Linked DNA regions of Coturnix japonica. The main gene of each other region encodes a partner of the protein of the gene in region 3 in a complex. Links are inferred from orthologs where the notes say so. Each region holds a gene or a part of one and is shown on either strand. Other genes may lie near its edges. The genes, in order: TIMM10, TIMM10B, TIMM29, TIMM22 and AGK.

Evidence for each region.
Region 1: the proteins of TIMM29 (region 3) and TIMM10 are in contact, whole or in part, in a cryo-EM structure (PDB 7CGP), measured with the Homo sapiens proteins. The link is inferred for Coturnix japonica from reciprocal best matches to the Homo sapiens genes TIMM29 and TIMM10. Residues at the interface, in NP_612367.1 of Homo sapiens: Asp181, Asp183, Ile184, Asp186, Phe189, Leu192, Leu196, Arg197, Val199, Gln203, Leu204, Ser206, Asn209, Glu210, Leu212, Phe213, Asp214; in NP_036588.1 of Homo sapiens: His30, Arg31, Lys32, Cys33, Pro35, Pro36, Leu43, Ser44, Lys45, Gly46, Glu47, Ser48, Val49, Arg53.
Region 2: TIMM29 (region 3) and TIMM10B share a complex: the UniProt entries of both Homo sapiens proteins name them as parts of the TIM22 complex. The link is inferred for Coturnix japonica from reciprocal best matches to the Homo sapiens genes TIMM29 and TIMM10B.
Region 4: TIMM29 (region 3) and TIMM22 share a complex: the UniProt entries of both Homo sapiens proteins name them as parts of the TIM22 complex. The link is inferred for Coturnix japonica from reciprocal best matches to the Homo sapiens genes TIMM29 and TIMM22.
Region 5: the proteins of TIMM29 (region 3) and AGK are in contact, whole or in part, in a cryo-EM structure (PDB 7CGP), measured with the Homo sapiens proteins. The link is inferred for Coturnix japonica from reciprocal best matches to the Homo sapiens genes TIMM29 and AGK. Residues at the interface, in NP_612367.1 of Homo sapiens: Tyr145, Gln146, Cys149, Arg150, Tyr151, Leu152, Gln153, Arg155; in NP_060708.1 of Homo sapiens: His33, Asn36, Arg39, Arg40, Cys43, Gln44, Gln47, Asn51, Lys82, Pro86, His89, Leu90.

What each region holds. Positions count from the first base shown.
Region 1 is NC_029520.1:7,775,253-7,777,770, forward strand, and holds TIMM10 (mitochondrial import inner membrane translocase subunit Tim10), read right to left. Parts: upstream 1,113-2,518; 5' UTR 1,045-1,112; coding exon 974-1,044; intron 802-973; coding exon 600-801; 3' UTR 513-599; downstream 1-512. Other genes in the region: SMTNL1 (smoothelin-like protein 1), read left to right, coding at 2,072-2,518.
Region 2 is NC_029516.1:174,017,814-174,020,780, forward strand, and holds TIMM10B (mitochondrial import inner membrane translocase subunit Tim10 B), read right to left. Parts: upstream 1,522-2,967; 5' UTR 1,442-1,521; coding exon 1,400-1,441; intron 1,284-1,399; coding exon 1,188-1,283; intron 1,107-1,187; coding exon 915-1,106; 3' UTR 899-914; exon of another isoform or gene 776-898; 3' UTR 564-775; downstream 1-563. Other genes in the region: ARFIP2 (arfaptin-2), read left to right, coding at 2,157-2,255, 2,341-2,449. UniProt on the Homo sapiens protein: Component of the TIM22 complex, a complex that mediates the import and insertion of multi-pass transmembrane proteins into the mitochondrial inner membrane.
Region 3 is NW_015439913.1:16,324-20,403, reverse strand, and holds TIMM29 (mitochondrial import inner membrane translocase subunit Tim29), read right to left. Parts: upstream 2,866-4,080; 5' UTR 2,076-2,865; coding exon 1,461-2,075; 3' UTR 300-1,460; downstream 1-299. UniProt on the Homo sapiens protein: Component of the TIM22 complex, a complex that mediates the import and insertion of multi-pass transmembrane proteins into the mitochondrial inner membrane.
Region 4 is NC_029534.1:5,110,347-5,114,693, forward strand, and holds the start of TIMM22 (mitochondrial import inner membrane translocase subunit Tim22), read right to left. Parts: upstream 2,851-4,347; 5' UTR 2,836-2,850; coding exon 2,481-2,835; intron 1,761-2,480; coding exon 1,564-1,760; intron 601-1,563; coding exon 528-600; intron 1-527. UniProt on the Homo sapiens protein: Essential core component of the TIM22 complex, a complex that mediates the import and insertion of multi-pass transmembrane proteins into the mitochondrial inner membrane. In the TIM22 complex, it constitutes the voltage-activated and signal-gated channel.
Region 5 is NC_029516.1:55,068,945-55,072,517, forward strand, and holds part of AGK (acylglycerol kinase, mitochondrial), read right to left. Parts: intron 2,842-3,573; coding exon 2,809-2,841; intron 882-2,808; coding exon 787-881; intron 1-786. UniProt on the Homo sapiens protein: Lipid kinase that can phosphorylate both monoacylglycerol and diacylglycerol to form lysophosphatidic acid (LPA) and phosphatidic acid (PA), respectively. Does not phosphorylate sphingosine. Phosphorylates ceramide.

The DNA.
Region 1 (2,518 bases), on a different chromosome or scaffold from region 3:
GGCACAGGCGCACTGTGTGTGTACGGGTGGATGGACACACAGTGCCCACCCCCAGGCTGGGGTGTCTCTGGCTGGGTGTTCCCATCTAGTAACCCTGTGCAGGTCTTCCCTACACATGTGTGCACATCTGTATGTGTGGCTCTGGGGTTGTTTCCATCCAGGTGTCCCCCCCTAAGTGTCCCCACGTGGGTGTCCCTGTGTGGTCCTTTTCCAGGTGTGGAAAGGGCACTGTCCCTCTCCAGCCATCCATACCAAATGTCTCTGTGCCTGTCCCCATGCAGGTGTGCTGTTTTCTCACTGCCCCCCTGCAGGTGTCCCTTTGTGGCCATTTCTCCAGGTGCTCCCCAGTGTCCCCCCAGCAAGCAGAGTGAGGGGCACAGCCCTGTCCTGACCCCATAAGGGATAAGGAAGGTTTCAGCCTATCCCCGAGGCTGACGTGGGCACAGCAGACACGCCGGGGTGCCCCCATCTCCAGTAGGTTAGTGGGACACCCCCTGACACAGCACCACAGACGGGTTTGGGGGGCCGAGGGAAGCACACAGCTGGCCCAGAGCCTCCAGTTTATTGGTACGATGGGAAGGGGAGTCCGAAGGGAGGGCTCAGGCGGTGCCCGTGCCCTGCTGCATGCGCTTCAGGAGCTCCTCGTCCTGCAGCGACAGCTCCGTCAGCTTCTTGCCCATCCGCTCGTGCACATCCAGGTACTTGGCCACGCAGCGGTCCAGGCACACGCTCTCGCCTTTCGACAGCTCCGCCTCCTTGTAGTGTGGGGGCACGCACTTGAGGTGACACGCCTGCGTCATCCTGAGGGACAACACCGTCACCCCACGGCTCTGCCCGGCACCCCCCACCCCCGGCACCCGCACAGCCCCCGCACAGCCCCCACCCGCGACACCCACGCGCCTCTCGCTCTCCCAGCCCCTCCCTGTCCCGGGCACTACCCCCAGGCCCCGGCCCGTCCCGTCAGGCCGCGCACCGGTTGTACATGTCGGCCATCATGTCCACCTCCAGCTCTGCCGCCAGCTGCTGTGCCCGCAGCGGGTCCATGTCGCTCCCGCACCGCGCTCCCGCAGGATGCACGTGGGACGCGCTTCCGCCCACACGCTCAGGCGCTCCGCCCCGCCGCCGCTCTCGGTCAATAGGAGACGGGTGGGGGCGGGACAACGGCTCGTTCTCAGCGCTGATGGGACGTGGGGAGCGGTGCGGAGCGGGGTGGGCGGGGGCAGGCGATGGAGGGCAGGGATGGATCGGGGCCGGCCCGGCCCACGCGTGACCTCCGCGTGTCCCCGTGGGTCTGCCCTCACGGCTCTGCCCCCTCGTGTCTGTGTCTGCTACGGGTCTATGGCCCCGTGTCCCTCTATGTCAATGTGTCCCCTATGTCCCCCCACAGATCAGGGCACTCTGTGTTCCCTTTGTCACCCTTCTCTCCCATATATGTGTCCCCCGTGTCCCCTCGTGTCCCACGCATCACCCATCTCCTCCATGTGCCGTGTCTCCGTGCCCACTCGTGACCCTCATATCCCCCCGATATCGCCTCCACGTCCCCCCATGTCCTCACGTGCACGCGTCCCCCCGTGTCCGTGTCCCTGTGTCCCCGTTCCATCCCGCAGTCCCCGCTATCCCCAGGCCCCGCCCGGCCTCCTCTCCCCCCCGTCCCGTCCCGTCCCCTCCCCGCTGTGCCCCTCTCCGGCCCCCGACCCGCCCCGTCGGCGCTGACTGAAGGCGGCACCTGCGGCGGTCACACGGCCGCGGGGAGAGCGGAGAGCGGTGAGCCGGGATATGGGGCGCCGGGGGGCTGGGGGGGACGTCGGGGGTTTGGGGTGAGAAACGAGGATAGGACGGGATGGAGGGGGGTCGGGGTTGGGGGTAGGGAGTGAGTTGTGGAGTTGGGACTGAGCTGGAGGAGCTGGGAGGGGGCAGGAGGAAAACATGAATGGGGAATGGGTTGGGTTGGGGTGTGCAGGGGGGAGGGAGGGGTTTGGGGACAGGAGTGGGGGGTGGGGGTTGGGTCGAGGTGGATGGGAAGGGATAAATAATGGGGATGGGATGGGGACTGGGAGCTGTGTTGGGGCCGATGGGGTGGGCGGGCAGGAGGAACGCTGAGGGACAGAAGTGCAATGGGATTGCATGGGGTGGAAGGCACGGTGGATACTTCAGTGACAACCCTGCAGCCCACAGTAGGAGCATGGAGTCCACAACAACCGATGGAGCCCCAACCCCAAATGACACTGCCCTGGGTGACCTCACACAGACATCAACAGGGCCCACAGAGGGGATGGTGGGGGGGGACAGCGGGGAAAGTGCAGCACAGGAAGGGCAGGGGGAGGCTGGGGGGGATGAAGGGGGCGCTGGGGGGGAGAGTGCAGGGGATACGAGGATTGGGGGCGAGGTAGAAGCAGAGAAGAACTGTGGGAGTGAGGCTAAGGGGGAGGCAGTAGGGGATGCTGTGAGTGAGGTCAGCATGGCAGGAGATGCTGGGAGTGAGGCTAAGGGGGAGGATGCAAGGGATGCTGTGGGTGAA
Region 2 (2,967 bases), on a different chromosome or scaffold from region 3:
CCGGGTGCTCTCCCGGCAGCTTATGGACTTGCTGGAGAACGTACCCAGTTTATGCTTTGTCCACAAGGTGGAAAATAATCTTAGGGGCCTCCAATGTTCACCAGATCTTTGGTTTTCCCATAGCTTAAGTAACGAAGGTCGACTTGTCTCAATTACTGGCACTTAAAGACCTTACATCTGTGTGCATTTGTCTACTCTTCTAAGTGCCAATGAAACCCATCAGAGGGAAGCCAGGGAACAGGGTATCACAGAATCATAGCATAGAATCACAGCATGGCCTGGGTTGCACACAGTGCTCATCCATCCCAACCCCCTGCTGTGTGCAGGGTCACAACCAGCAGCCAGGGCTGCCCAGAGCCGCATCCAGCCTGGCCTTGAATGCCTGCAGGGCTGGGAGCTGCAGCCTGTGCTGATGCTGCTCCAGCAGCAAGAACACAAAGAAACAGTTCCTAGAAGGAGCAAAGTGGGAACCTTTGCTGGGAGGAAGGTGCCGCTGGCAGCAGGACGCAGCACACAGCGCTGCTTGTGGAGCAGTGTCCGTGTACCCCTGTGACACACTGACAGCACGACACATAAAACGTTTTATTAACCCCATGAAATGGTCAAATACAAACACAAGATGTTCAGTTCTGGACAGCAGGAGCCCAGTCAGTGCTGGATTCCAGCCGGGAGCTGCAGTGCACACAGCAGCTCATACACGTTCCCTTCCTCCTCCTGCCCCCGGTGCCGTTGTGCTGCCGGTTTTGGCCGCCATGTCGGGCAGTCCCGGCTGCTGCTGTGGGTGCAGAGAACGCGGCTCGGCCTGGCCCGGCTGTGACACCGGGCAGTTCAGCGGCTCCACACGGGAGCTGCCATCAGGTGACCGTCCCGCAGCCACCTCCCGGCCACGGCAACGCACCGACCCCGCGGCTCCGTTACGTGCCCGCGGGAGCCGCGTCGGGATCAGCGGGAGCCGCTTCGTGTCCGTCCGGTGCGGCCGGTTCCGCGCTGTGCTCGGTGCGGGCGGCGCGGCGCTGCACGATGCCGGGCATCAAGGACACGTAGGCGCCCATCAGCCGGTGGTTGGAGCGGACCAGCTTCCCGGCGCAGCCGTCCAGGCACCGCTCCTACGGGCGGCACCGGCTCCGTTCGGCTCCGTTCACCCCGTCCCGTCCCGTCCCGTCCCGTCCCGCCCGGTCCCCGCTCACCTCGCGCCGTGACAGCAGCCGGTGCCCGAGGTCGGAGACGCAGCGGCGGAAGCAGAGCTCGGTCATGCGGTTGTACACCAGCAGGAAGTCCCGCAGCTGCAAAACAGCGGCACGTACGGTCACCGGGACGGCCCGGCACCGCCGAACCGGGACGAACCGAACCGAACCGAACCGGGCCGCCCACCATCTTCCCCCCGTCCCCCCACACTCACACTGCGGAGCTGCTGCTGCTGTTCGGCCGCCGCCGCCTCCATGTCGGCCCGCCCCGCGCTGCCGGAAGTACCGGCACTTCCGCCCCGCCGCACTTCCGCTCGGGGATCTACAGCACGTCACTTCCGGCTCGGTCTCCCGGCGCCCCCCGCGCGGGTCGTGACGTAACTTCCGGCGCGTCCGGGCCGAGGCGGATCGAGGCCGCGGAGCCTCCGGGGCGGGGGGGCCCAGCGGGGCCGGGCGGGGCAGGTGGGACATAACGGGACATAACGGGACATAACGGGACGGGCTGGGCTGGGCTGGGCTGGGCTGAAGGTCGGGGTGAAGGTCGGGCCCCGGGTGGGAGCCGGGCTGGGAGCCCCGGTGCCGCCGCAGGGCCCGGCCGTGCAGTGACAGCCCGGCCTTTGGGCCGCCCCGGTCCCGTCCCGGTTCCTGGTGCCGTTGCAGCCGCTGCTCGTGTCGCTCCTGCTCGTCCCGCCCGGGCTCTCGGTGCTCGTTGGCTCCGAGCGGCGGCTGCGAGTCCCGGGCCGGGCCGCAGCGCTGCCCCCAATGCCGGTACCGAGGGGCGGGTCCAGCTCGTGATAACGGCGCTCGGTGCGGGCGGGGCGATGCTCGGAATGTGACCGGACCGGTCCGGCCGGGCCCTGCCGCGCTCTGCCGACGTGGCCCCGAGCCCCGCGCCAGGAGCCGTGGGGAGCTCGGACCGAGGGGACACGAGGAGCCCCGTGAACGAACCGTGTGTCCCCGCAGGCCCTGACCATGTCGGATGGGATCATGAGCAAAGCCGCCACCATGGAGATCCCCATCAGCAGCAACGGGGACGCCGGCAGCCTGCCCGAAGATGACGGCCTGGAGCAGGTGTGGGGCTGCGCCGGGGCCTCACGTCGGCCCCATGGGTTGGGGGTCTGTCCTTGTGCTTCAATTTAATGCTCTGCTCCCCCAGGACCTGCAGCAAGTGATGGTGTCGGGGCCCAACCTCAACGAAACCAGCATCGTGTCTGGTGGCTACGGGGGAACCGCTGAAGGCATCATCCCCACCGGCACCATCAAAGGTACAAACGGCTTCCACAGGGACGGGGCTGTGGGTGGGGGTCAGCTGGGTGTTCTGCTGGAGGCTTTAGGGCTCAGTGCTGGGGTCACAGCCCACCCTGCTGCAGCCCTGAACGGGGCCAGTCTGTGTCCCTGCTCCCAGCAGCTCTGCTCGTAGCTGAGGCCGTCCTGAGTCACAGCCACGTGGCCCTGCAGAGCTCAGCCTCCTCACAGCCCCAGAGCACAGCACTGCTGCCACCCCGCCAATGCTGTGGGGCCCATCCTGGGGGTGTGATTTCCACCCAGCTGCACTTCTTACCCTGCACGTGCCCTTGGCTCACAGGCAGCTGTGGAGATGCCTGGCTCTCTCGTAGATGCAGGGCTTCTGCTGAGGGAGCTGCTCTGCCCTCCTGGGGCACTGGTGTGATGTGTGGGCTCAGCTCTTGGGTATCCAAGAGCCCCAAAGGTGCACAGTACTGGCACAGCTGTGGTGGCTGCACCTGAGAGACACCTTTCAGACAGAGGGGGACAGGGCAGAAGG
Region 3 (4,080 bases):
GGCAATAGGGGGAATATGGGGAAAATGCAGGGTAAAATTAGCGTGGAAAATGGGGGAAATAGGGGAAATGGGCAGAGGGGAAATAGGGGGGAAAGGGGGGATATAGGGGGAAAACAAGGAGGATATAGGGGGTAAATGGGGGATATAGGGGGGAAATAAGGGGGATATAGGGGGAAATGGGAGGGAAATAGGAGGAAAAGGGGGAAAATGGGGGGGAAATAGGGGGTAAATGGGTCATATAGGGCAGCTTTGGGGCTGGGGAGAGGGGGACGAAGTGGTTCAAAATGGGCTGAAAAAGCGCAGATTTGGGGTTCTCGTTTATGGAGGGCTGAAAGCAGCACTGGGCTGCAGCGCTCAGTGGGTCAATGAATGCACTGTAATGTCCAACACCGGCCGGTACCGACAAACAAACGACGGTACCGAGAGCCACCGGTCCCTATAGCCGCCGGTACCGAGAGTCGCCGATGTCAACAGCGGCCAGTACCGATAGCAGCCGGTACCAACAGACAGCTGCCGGTCCCGATAGCTGTCAGTGCTAATAGCCGCCGGTACCAAGAACCGCCGGTACCGAGAGCCGCCGATACCGATAGCAGCCAGTACCGAGAGCTGCCGGAACCAATATCTGCCAGTACTGAGAGCTGCTGGTACCGAGAACCACCAGTACCAAGAGCTACCAGTACTGACAAATAGCCGCCGGTACCGATAGCCACCAGTACCGAGAGCTGCTGGTACCGATAGCTGATGGTCCTGAGAGCTGCCGGTATCAATAGCAGCCGGTACCGAGAGACACCAGTCCCAATAGCTGCCGGTGCTGACAGCCGCTGGTACCGACAGCCGCTGGTGCCAAGAGCCACCGGTACCGAGAGCTGCCGGTACCGAGAGCCACCGGTGCCAATAGCTGCCAGTACTGAGAGCCACTGGTGCCGAGAGCTACCGGTTCTGAGAGCCGCCGGTACCAAGAACCGCTGGTGCTGAGAGCCACTGATACCGATAGCGGCCAGTACCAAGAGCTGCTGGTCCTGATAGCTGCTGGTACCAGGAGCCGCCGGTTCTGAAAGTCACTGGTACCAATAGTGGCTGGTGCCAACAGCCGCCGGTATCAATAGCGGCCAGTACTGATAACCACTGGTATTGATAGCTGCCGGTACCGATAACCACTGGTATCGATAGCTGCTGGTACCGATAACCGCTGGTACCGATAGCGGCTGGTACCGATAACCGCTGGTATCGATAGCTGCCGGTACCAAGAGCCACCGGTGCCAATAGCTGCCAGTACCGATAACCGCTGGTATCGATAGCTGCCGGTACCGATAACCGCCGGTACCGATAGCGGCTGGTACCGATAACCGCTGGTACCGATAGCTGCTGGTACCGATAACCGCTGGTATCGATAGCTGCCGGTACCAATAACCGCCGGTACCGATAGCGGCCAGTCCCACCCTCCCGGCGCGTTGCCCCGCTCAGTCCCCATCATCTCCCCGTGGCATCAGCACTGTGGGTCGTTCCCGTCGCTCCCGGAGCCGCTCGGTGCCGTCGCTGTGGAGCTGCTCGGGCCGGACCCGCTGCAGGGCGTCGGGCAGAGCCGCGAACTCCTCATCGTTAATGTCACAGTCCTGGAGCTTCGCCTCCAGCACCCACCAGCGCCCGGCGAACCCCACGTCCCACACCCGCTTCCACCGGGGCCGTACGTGGGGACACCGAGCTCCGTACAGCGCCACGGCGGCGTCGTGCGGCTCCTCGTACAGCACGGCCAGCAGCACCAGCTGCCGGTACCGGAGCTGCCCGCGGTCCCGGCGCCGTTGAAGCCGTTGGACGTGACGTTCGGTCGCCATGTTCCGAGTGTTGGGGGGCAGCAGCAGCAGCGCGGATGCGGCGTCCAGCAGCGCCGCGTCGAATGAACGTCGGTCCGGGACGGTTCTGATGGCGGCCACAGCTCCCCCCATTGATACCAACACGGATCCCGCAGCCACCGGACGGCGCCGGGCCCAACGCAGCGTGTCCCAAAGCGCCTCCGTGTAGTCCCGAAGTACGGCACGGAACCAGCGGCCTATTAATGGGGGGGTTGTTAGAACCATCCCGGTGCTGTGTGATACCGGGACCCCAAGGTGCGATACCGGCACCCCAAGGTGTGATACCGGGACCCCAAGGTGCGATAGCGGGACCCCGAGGTGTGATACCGGGACCCCGAGGTGTGATACCAGGACCCCGAGGTGTGATACCGGGACCCCAAGGTGCGATACTGGGACCCCAAGGTGTGATACCGGAACCCCGAGGTGTGATACCGGGACCCTGAGGTGTGATACCGGGACCCCAAGGTGCGATACCGGGACCCCAAGGTGCGATACCGGGACCCTGAGGTGCAATACTGGCACCCCGAGGTGTGATACCGGGACCCCAAGGTGCGATACCGGGACCCCAAGGTGTGATACCGGGACCCCAAGGTGTGATACCAGGACCCCAAGGTGCGATACCGGGACCCGAGGTGTGATACCGGGACCCCAAGGTGTGATACTGGCACCCCAAGGTGTGATACCGGGACCCCAAGGTGCGATACCGGGACCCTGAGGTGCAATACTGGCACCCCAAGGTGTGATACCGGGACCCCAAGGTGCGATACCGTCACCCCAAGGTGTGATACCGGGACCTGGTGTGCGATACCGGGACCCCGAGGTGTGATACCGGGACCCCAAGGTGCGATACCGGCACCCCAAGGTGCGATACCGGGACCCCGAGGTGTGATACCAGGACCCCAAGGTGTGATACCAGGACCCCAAGGTGTGATACCGGGACCCCAAGGTGCGATACCGGGACCCCAAGGTGTGATACCGGGACCCCAAGGTGTGATACCGGGACCCCAAGGTCGTGATACCGACCCAAGGTCGATCCGGGCACCCAAGGTTGCTCCTGGCACCCCAGGTGTGATACCGGGACCACTGATGCATGTGATACCGGCGATCCCCAAAGTCGATGATACCGGACCCAGTGTGGAAGCCGGACCTGATGGTGTGATACGGCCCCAAGGTGCCATACCGGCACCCGAGGTGTGATCCCCTAAACACCCCCCCTCAAACCTATACCCCCAAAACACCCCTACCCCCCTATAATAGCCCCACTCCCCAACACCCCCTAGCCTCCCCAAACCCCCCACCCGTCAACCAGACTGTGTGCTATCGGGCTGTTTTCAAACCCCCAACACCTAAGCCCCCTTCAGACACCCTCCCACCCTGATCATAGACCGCCCTGAGGCTGATCCATAGACCAGCCCAAGAGTCTGAGTCCATAGAACCCGCCCTGGTCTGATCCATAGAGTCTGATCCATAGTAACCCGGCCCAGGGTCCGGATCCATAGAGCCAGCCCCATGTGTCTGATCCATAGAAACCCGGCCCCATAGAGTCTGATCCCATAGAACCGGCCCCATAGCGAGTTGGATCCCATAGAACCGGCCCATGGAGTCTGATCCCATAGACCCCCCGGCCCCTAGAGTCTTTGATCCCATAGAACCCGGCCCATAGGTCGTCTGATCCCTAGACCCGGCCCATAGAGTCTTCCTAGAACCCGGCCCATTGGTCTGATCCCATATGAAACCACGGCCCCAAGAGTCTGATCCCATAGAACCGTGCCCCATAGGTCTGATCATAGAACCGGCCCATAGAGTCGTGGCTCCATAGAACCCGGCCCCAAGGTCTGATCCCATAGAGCCCGCCATAGTGTCTGATGCCATAGACCCGCCCATAGAGTCTGATGCCATAGACCGGCCCTAGAACCTTGGCCATTGAGTCTGATCCAGTAGAACCGGCCCCATAGGTCTTGATCCCATAGAGAACCCGGCCCCATCGAGTTCTGGATCCCATAGACCCGGCCCCATAGGAGGTCTGATCCCATAGAACCACGGGCCCCATAGAGTCTGATCCCATAGAACCCGGCCCAAGACGTTTGATCTCCATGAACCCGCCCCATCAGAGTCTCGATCCATAGAGCCCACCCCATCGAAGTCTGATCCCATAGAACCCGCCCCATAGAGTCTGATCAGTAGACCGGCCCCATGAGTTGATCCATTAGAGCCCGCCCTGAGTCTGTCC
Region 4 (4,347 bases), on a different chromosome or scaffold from region 3:
AGTCCCCTCTAGGTCCTGCTGGACTAAAATCTCAGTGCTCCTGCTCTTGTACAGCTACATAGAATTGCCTCTTTGAGACAGGAGAAAGGAGGGAGGCATTGTACAAGCTGATCAAGTTAACAGAGTTCCTGCCAGTGAAACAATATATCTAAGTAGAGCTCTATTAACACAAGAGCTGTAACTTCAGCGAGTTGCTCAGAACATATTTTTGGCTCCCTCTCCATGACACCCCAGTAGCATGTGGAGAGCTACCAGCACCATTTCCTCATTTGCTTTCAAGTCACTTCTGTTCATTTCTCTCCGCTCTCCCTGTCCTGTACAACCAGCCTTCCCTACCCACACATATCTTTCAAGATGACAGGAAAGAGACAGAGATGACAGTTCTGCCAACTTCAAGCACATTCTCATGCTGACATCAACATAACCCCATACAGAGAGATTTGCAGCGTGCGTTGCCTTAAAAATGCTGCTTGTTACCATCCCAAATTGCTGCCTTATCACAGCAGTTGCTACCAGGCATCACCAACCTCTGAAGCCAATCGCTCCTCCTGTGATGCAGCCACTAATAACGCTGTTCCTCCAGTCTGACTTTCCACGATACTGTGGAGTTAAAAAACAAGAGACAACAAGTAAACATGGAATAACAATTCGACATCTGTACTAACACCAAGGGAGGTGAAGCCTTCCAGCCCTGTTTCAGATGAGGATGCTTTTCCTTCTGCTCTCAGCAGATGGCCCCCCTGCACTGTAAAAGTTTTTATGTGGCCAGGAGGAGGGGAAGGAGCAGGTCAGCAGGAGAGGTAAGACACATCCGCATGGTGCAATGCAGTGCTACAGCACACTCTCAGATGAGCCCATACAGCCCCCACAAGGCAGCACAGTGCACCGGCACCAGCTCACAGACAATTTAAAGGCACTGTGAGCACAGCATGGCCATGCAGCCATGAGAGCAAACAGCAGCCTGCGGGCAAACATTAGCTATTAGCTAGTTTTTCACCAGTGCAACGTGTTTGTTCTGCTTCGTTGTGCACACAGATACACTTTTCTTTTACACGGATTAAGAACTAATTGTGTTTTTCGATTGAAGGACAGTACTGACATTCATAACAGGCTCATCTTCCTATTTAAGAAAACGGGTGATAGCTTTACCACTGAGCAGCACGAGGTCGTTTCCTGCTGTAGGGGCAAGATGAAAACAGCCCTATTACTTCAGATCTTTCATCAAAGGATCCCTTTCTTCACATGTACTTTTTAGAGGCTCAGATGGCCACGTTGCAACTCCCAGTTTGATGTTTTAACACAACTATGAGTTGTTTGGAGCTAAAGTTTCAAAAATCAATGCCAAAATCCAGGACTTGAACTGGAAAGCTCTTCACTGTTGCATGCAGCTCTGCTTATTCCAACACAGAACAGTTCTGAAAACCTTTAGAACTGAAAAGCTTAAATGATCAAGAAGCAAAAGGCAACGAGCCAATCCCTCACCACAGTGGTTTGGACTCATGAAAGGCGCTCAATGGTGTATAATAAAAGCTCCCATAGTAACGTTTGAGGGTCGTTACTCACCGATTCCACCACGCACTCGGTGCAGGAGAACATGGCGCCCACAATGGCGAAGTTCTTGGCGTAGGAAATGCCGCGCTGCCCCATGTCCTTCAGCACCTCCTTGGCTGTCGGGGTGCGATACGGGTCCTTGGGGTCGAAGCCCACATTGGTGTCGATGCCAGCAGTGAAGATCCCAAAGGCTCCTCCAAGAACAAACCCTGGGGAAGACAACAGCTATGAAATGAAGCTCTGGATTGGAGCAGTGATCCAACACTCACAGGGTTAGAGCTGCTCTGGTCTTAAGGGCAGCATGAAGGGCTGATGTGCTGCAGACACTGATCTGATCACAGAATCACAGAATTGTAGGGGTTGGAAGGGACCTCTAGAGATCATCAAGTCCAACCCCCCTGCCAAAGCAGGCTCCCTACACCACATCACACAGGTAGGCATCCAGGTGGGTCTTAAATATCTCCAGAGAAGGAGACTCCACCACCTCCCTGTGCAGCCTGTTCCAGTGCTCCGTCACCCTCGCTGTAAAGAAGTTCTTATTAAGGAACTTCCTATGCTGTACTTTCATCCCATTAGCCCTAGTCCTGTCCCCACGCACTACTGAAAAGAGACCAGCCTCACCACTATGGCCCCCACACCTCAGGTATTTATAAACCTGGATCCAATCCCCTCTCAACCTTCTTTTCTCAAGGCTAAACAGACCCAGTTCCCTGAGTCTCTCCTCATAGGGGAGATGCTCCAGGCCCTTCACCATCTTAGTGCCCCCTTTAGTGCAGGCACACAGCACAGAGAGTTCTATCTTAAACTGGAGGGGAAGGTGGGAGCCCCTTCCCCGTGTCCATGGGCTGGAATTGCCCTTAAGATCTGACAGACCCTCATCCCCCCCCTCAGCCCCAACCCAACACCGTGTGTCCCCCACCCCCCCTCACCCCCCACGCAGGCCAAGGCCGCTTTGAAGGCGCAGCTCTCCATGGCTCTCTCCACCATCTTCTGCTCGTCGCTCTTGTTCGGGCAGGGGATGCCCCCGAAGCTGTTGGGGTCCCACACTCGGGGTCGGCGTTGCTCGCCCACCAGGTGCTGCAGCACAGCGCTGTATTGCAGCGGAGGCTGCGAACCGCCCGGCGGTGCGGCCGCCATTATTGTCCTCCGCGTAACGAGGAACCGGCAGCGCGGCTTCCGTAGCGCGCGGGGGTTGATGGGTGTTGTAGTTTCACTAACAGAGACTCCCGCTGTGAGGCGCGCTGCCGAGACTCCATTTCCCAGCGTTCCCCGCGGCAGCGCCATGACACTGAACTACAGCTCTCGGCGTGCTTTGCGGAGAGACACGCGATTGGCCGCGCTGAGGGCTGGGAGCCCCGTTACCCGGCGTACAGCGCCCCCTGGTGGCCATTGGGGGCGGTGCAGTGAGGTGAGCGCTCCGGCTGCACGAGCATCCAACGGGGCGGCAGCGATAAGAGGCAGCGATAGGAGACTGCGATAAGAGGCAGCGATAGGAGGTGAGAGCGGCTACGGGGGGGATGGAGCGGGGATGGGACGGCCACGGGGATGGGGAGGGATGAGGAGCCGCAGTGCGGGGCCGATCTGCCTCCGGTGTGTCGTTAAGCTCGGAGGGGTCGTTAAGCTTTGAGGGGTCGCTCCGTTCCCGGAGTGACTTCTATCTTTAGGGATAACAGCTCAACCTCAACACGGGGCTGAGAGCTGCGGGTCCTGCCGTGGTCGTTCTGCACAGCCCCGGGCTGAGCCCTGCGGGTGGGTGTCCCCCTCGTAGCACTCAGGGCTCAGCTGAGCTGTGCGTGGTGCTGGGATCATCCTGCGGCCCATCCGAGCAGCACTGCGCTGCCCCGGGCACACGGAGAGGCAGCTTGACATCAAAGGTGCTTAGAGAGCAAAAAAAGTCTGTCTTTTTGTCATAAAATGCAAACCGAGCTCGCAGCGAGTCATATAGAAACCTCAGCCCTTCCGCGCTTACCCTGTTTGGTAGCAGGGTGGGAAACTCTTCTTCTGTGCCCCCCCTCAGCTGAACGAGGAGGAGCTGCCAAGGTTTAAAGCCTTCACCCACACGCTCTGTGCCTTGTGTTGCTGTTCTGTGCAGCAGGAGCAGCGCTCTGCTCAGCCCAGCACGATGCAGGTGGGTCTGCTTGGAAGGAATAGCCTGGTTGGCTTCAATGTTGGCTTGGTTTAACTTTAGAAGTTGCCCACAGGTTTTGAAGCCCTGAGGTGGTTTCAGCAGATGAGATGAGGTGGCTTCAGATCGTTGTGCTGAGAACTGAAAACGATATCAAAGATCTGTTGGTTGTTCTTAAGTGATGTGTTAAGTGTGACATCTTCCTGATGCCATTCATTGCTCTGAATGGGGACTGCTTAGAAACCCAAAGGATCCACAATCATTTATTTTCTATTTCTTTTCATTTTTAACATTTCTTGCCCTGTATCTTGTCTGTGCTGGATACGCAGGTTCAAATAACAACCTGGTTTGATGGTTCTTCAAATGAAGTGATGGTGTTATTTTCAATAACTTTCCTCTTTTCCTATTAAATTCCACTGCCCTCTGCTGGCTGGACCATCAGACCTGCCCAGAGCTCTTCCCCCACTATTCTTTTACTCTTTAAGGCTTTTTATATCTTAAGGTCAGAAGCTGTTGCAAAGCTTGCTGTTAATGTCTACTACAATGGGATCCTTATACAAAAGAGGAGGTTGGTGGCAGGTTGAGCTCCCTAAGGAGCCCTGAACTGTAGATCTCAATCTTCTCTTTGATCCACACTAACCTAGTTGGGCTGATCTTGAAGTCACACTGCA
Region 5 (3,573 bases), on a different chromosome or scaffold from region 3:
TGGCTTCATCAGGCTTAGGACACTGAGACAGAGAAGGAAGCTGTTTCTTTCGCAGACTTTCTTTTCTCCTGGCTCCTGCCTTCCCTCACTATCTCTGCAATTCCTACACTCCAAAGAATAGCTCTAACAGTGACAAAGGAACCAAAGTGTTTCTTTATAAAATATCACTTCCAAAAGTCAGGTTCTGATACATGTGTGGGTTGTTCAGCAACCTACTGACCAAATTCCTTTCAGCTTCACCGGTATGCTGCAGTATCACCTGCACAGTTCATTACCTGGGGGCAAGAAGATTACTCATTTCAAACAGCTTCTTTAGAACTCAAATATAAATTATTATTTTAATCTTTGCTACTGATTGCAACCTTGTCCATCCTGCTGAGCTTCAAAGCACTCCGGTGGCATTAATGAAGGATGTTATGCCAGTTGGATCATGGACTTTATGTGTGATGGACACCAGCAAGGGCCCACTGAATAAGAATGCTAATTAGTCACTGGGAGAACCAGAGTGAACAGATTTCAGTAGCAAGGAGAAATATACTTGTTAGCATGGAAGGAAAGGAAGGAAATATCAAAAGGGAATTAAGTGTGAGGAAAAGAGAGATTAATTGACTAGACTTCAGTTTCGAAGTGGACAAAACAATTTTATATCAAACCGAATCATCAGGCTCTGCCCAGAGACCGCCAATTTCTATGTAATATAGAAGAAAAAGAAAGCGTCGAACTACCAAGAAGCACTGCTTCTTGAAAACAAACAAAAGCTGCATTTCAGAAACACTTAATACTTACTGTACTTGGTTCACACTCTCAGGGTAGAGAGTGTGGCTCAATGTGCAGGTCTTTCCAAGAGGTATGAATCCTATAGGAATCTTACTGAAAGCAGCCTGGACACACAAGGGGAGTAAAATAACATTTGCATCAGTTGAATGAAGCTTTCTGTATGGAGACCACAGCTGTGTCTGATATCACCCCTCTGGCACTAAGCAGCCAGGCACTTCCTTAAATGAGGCAGTAATACATAATGACTCAGAACATGGCATCCAAATCTCTGAACCCACCACTGCCAACTGGGTGCAAAGGAGCTCTCTGTAATCATTACAAGCATTGTTACGTGCAGGTTGGCACACACATCCTAACTAATGCATGGATTCTGTCAGCAATCTGCCATCTTTCTTAATACTGATGGAGCCAGAGCAAGCTCTGAATCTCATTTACCACTGCAGAAATGCCACTCTGGTAGAGTAACCTTGTATGGCAAAGAGATTTTTTCAGTTAAGAAAAGGAAATTAGTGGATTCCTCCTGCATCCAAATCACGAAGCAGCAGAAGGTCTAATTTTTGAAACTCACTGACCATGTTACTTTTCAGTTCAGCAAAAGAGCTCGTTGGAGGAGCAAGTTATTACACTGTACCTCAAAATAAACTGTGCTTCTTGGATCATGTCAGCAAATCAGTGTAAACTACTGCATATCACAATGTACCATCTCCCTTTTGGGTGCTGCTATCAGCAGTGCCACAGCACTGCAAATCCATGCTGGCTAAACAACATCGCTCTCACTTCATGCCTACCTGCTCTCCCTTGTTATCTCTGTCTCACCTGCAAGTCTTAACACACCTCAAACATCCTTTGCTCATCTTCAGCACTGCTTTACAGCTTGCAGAAGATAGGCTGCTCACAGCAAATGCAGCAAGCTCTGTTCCCTTGGCTACTAGGACCCATGTTTCTGGAACACCTTGCACAAGCTCTCCTTATCCAGACAACAGTGGCATGACATACCCAAGAAAGGGAAGCAGAGCTCAAACTGAGGGGACTGAGCTGCAGGTTTTCACTCCTAGGACAGAGTGATATGAAGGGCAAGAAGAATTTGCAGGCCAAAGACATGAAGTGACACAGTGGCAATGTCACAGGGCAGTAATCCACCCAAAAACAGTACTGGTTGCAGAATTTTCTGTTACTGCAGATCAACACGAGCTACATCAAGATAAGACAAAAATACAAAAGAAGTAACTAGCCAGTAAAGCCTCCACAATGTTTCTTTCAGAATCCTTAGATTGCAGAGGTCTTAGGGGTCAGTTATAACAACACTAAATTTAAGAACACATGATGTCTCAGAATGAATACAGCTAGCACCTCACAAAAAACACTGGCAGAGCTGCAGAGTTTCTCTTGCCACACTCAGACAAGGCAACTGCCTAAACAGATACAGTTCTAGCTGCCAAGGATACCATCAGAATCTTCTCTGGATCATTTAGTTCAGCTTTTGCCAGCTCCTGCCAGAAGGTTTTGGGTTTCTTCAATAGCACTGTCAGAAGATTTTCAGAAAAATCTCATTTCCATTAAGAGGGATCTACCTTGAGAGGTTACAATTAGTTCTCTGTGGCGATCTGCACAGGGAGACTCACTGCTTGAAGAAAAGGCAAAACAATCATAAAACACCATGGGCATGGGCAAACCTAAATTCAGTTTCAAGTCTGCACAAATACAAGAAAAACCTGCATTTTTTGCCCAATACTAGTGCCACACAAAGCATACACAGCTGTATATAGGTGTCTGAAAGTTGTGCATTTGGCTCCTTAATAAATCCTGCTCTGTAGCTGGAAATTCCCCAAAGACATGGCTTGAGATACACTGTACTCCCCAAGAAAGGAAATGAAGAACAACGGGAAGTATTGCAGGACACCAGCATGGCTGCCTCATTACATAGTAAACTGGCTTGGTATTAGTAAGCAACAACATCTGCAAAAGCCAGGCTGGACCAAGAGATCACAGTGGATTCACAAGACACCTTTTCTAGGAAATAAACTTCCTCACCTCATCCGCTCTGCGAAGAAGTCCAGTTATGACCTGGAAAACAAGAGAAAGGCTCATCTTTGAGAATTCTGTTTGCAGTGACAGTAGAAAGCTATGAAAAATTATACATATTTATCTTTTGCAAAGATTTAAGAAGCAGCTACTCTTTTTTTTACTATTGCTTGCATGGGAAAGGACACAAATCCAGTGAGCAAACATGGTGCAAACAGCAGAGCTGAGTGCACATGAGTATGTATTGACATCACAACTGATGCCAGCATAAACGTTTTAACATAGAATAGACCCAGACAGCCCTGCATAAATTCTAGAACAGCACGGTTCAGTGTACAATTAACAATAATTGATTTTAAGGTAGGAGAAACGTCTAGATGGATTCCAACCACTTTCTTTTAAAATCATTGCATTTCATTTAGCCATTGCCTGATGAAATCAGTACTTAGCATTCCAGGAAATACTTTGGTAAAAAACAACCCGCCTTGAAAGAGAGTATTCTCCAGTTCTGTTGGCAGTGTGCTCTTGCCATTAATTGACTTGACAAAAGACATTTATTAAATACATACCACGCTTACTATCGCTCCCATATAAATATTAAATTTTTTGATTCCTGTTTAGGAAAACTTCCATTCATCTTCAGAAGTATAGATAGGCTGGGAATGAACTTTGAAAATTAAACCATTACAGTTACATTGCACAGAAAGAAAAAGTTGGAAACAATTCTCCCCAAATAATTTTCTCATTGTGGAGTAAAATTCTGGAACACAGTTA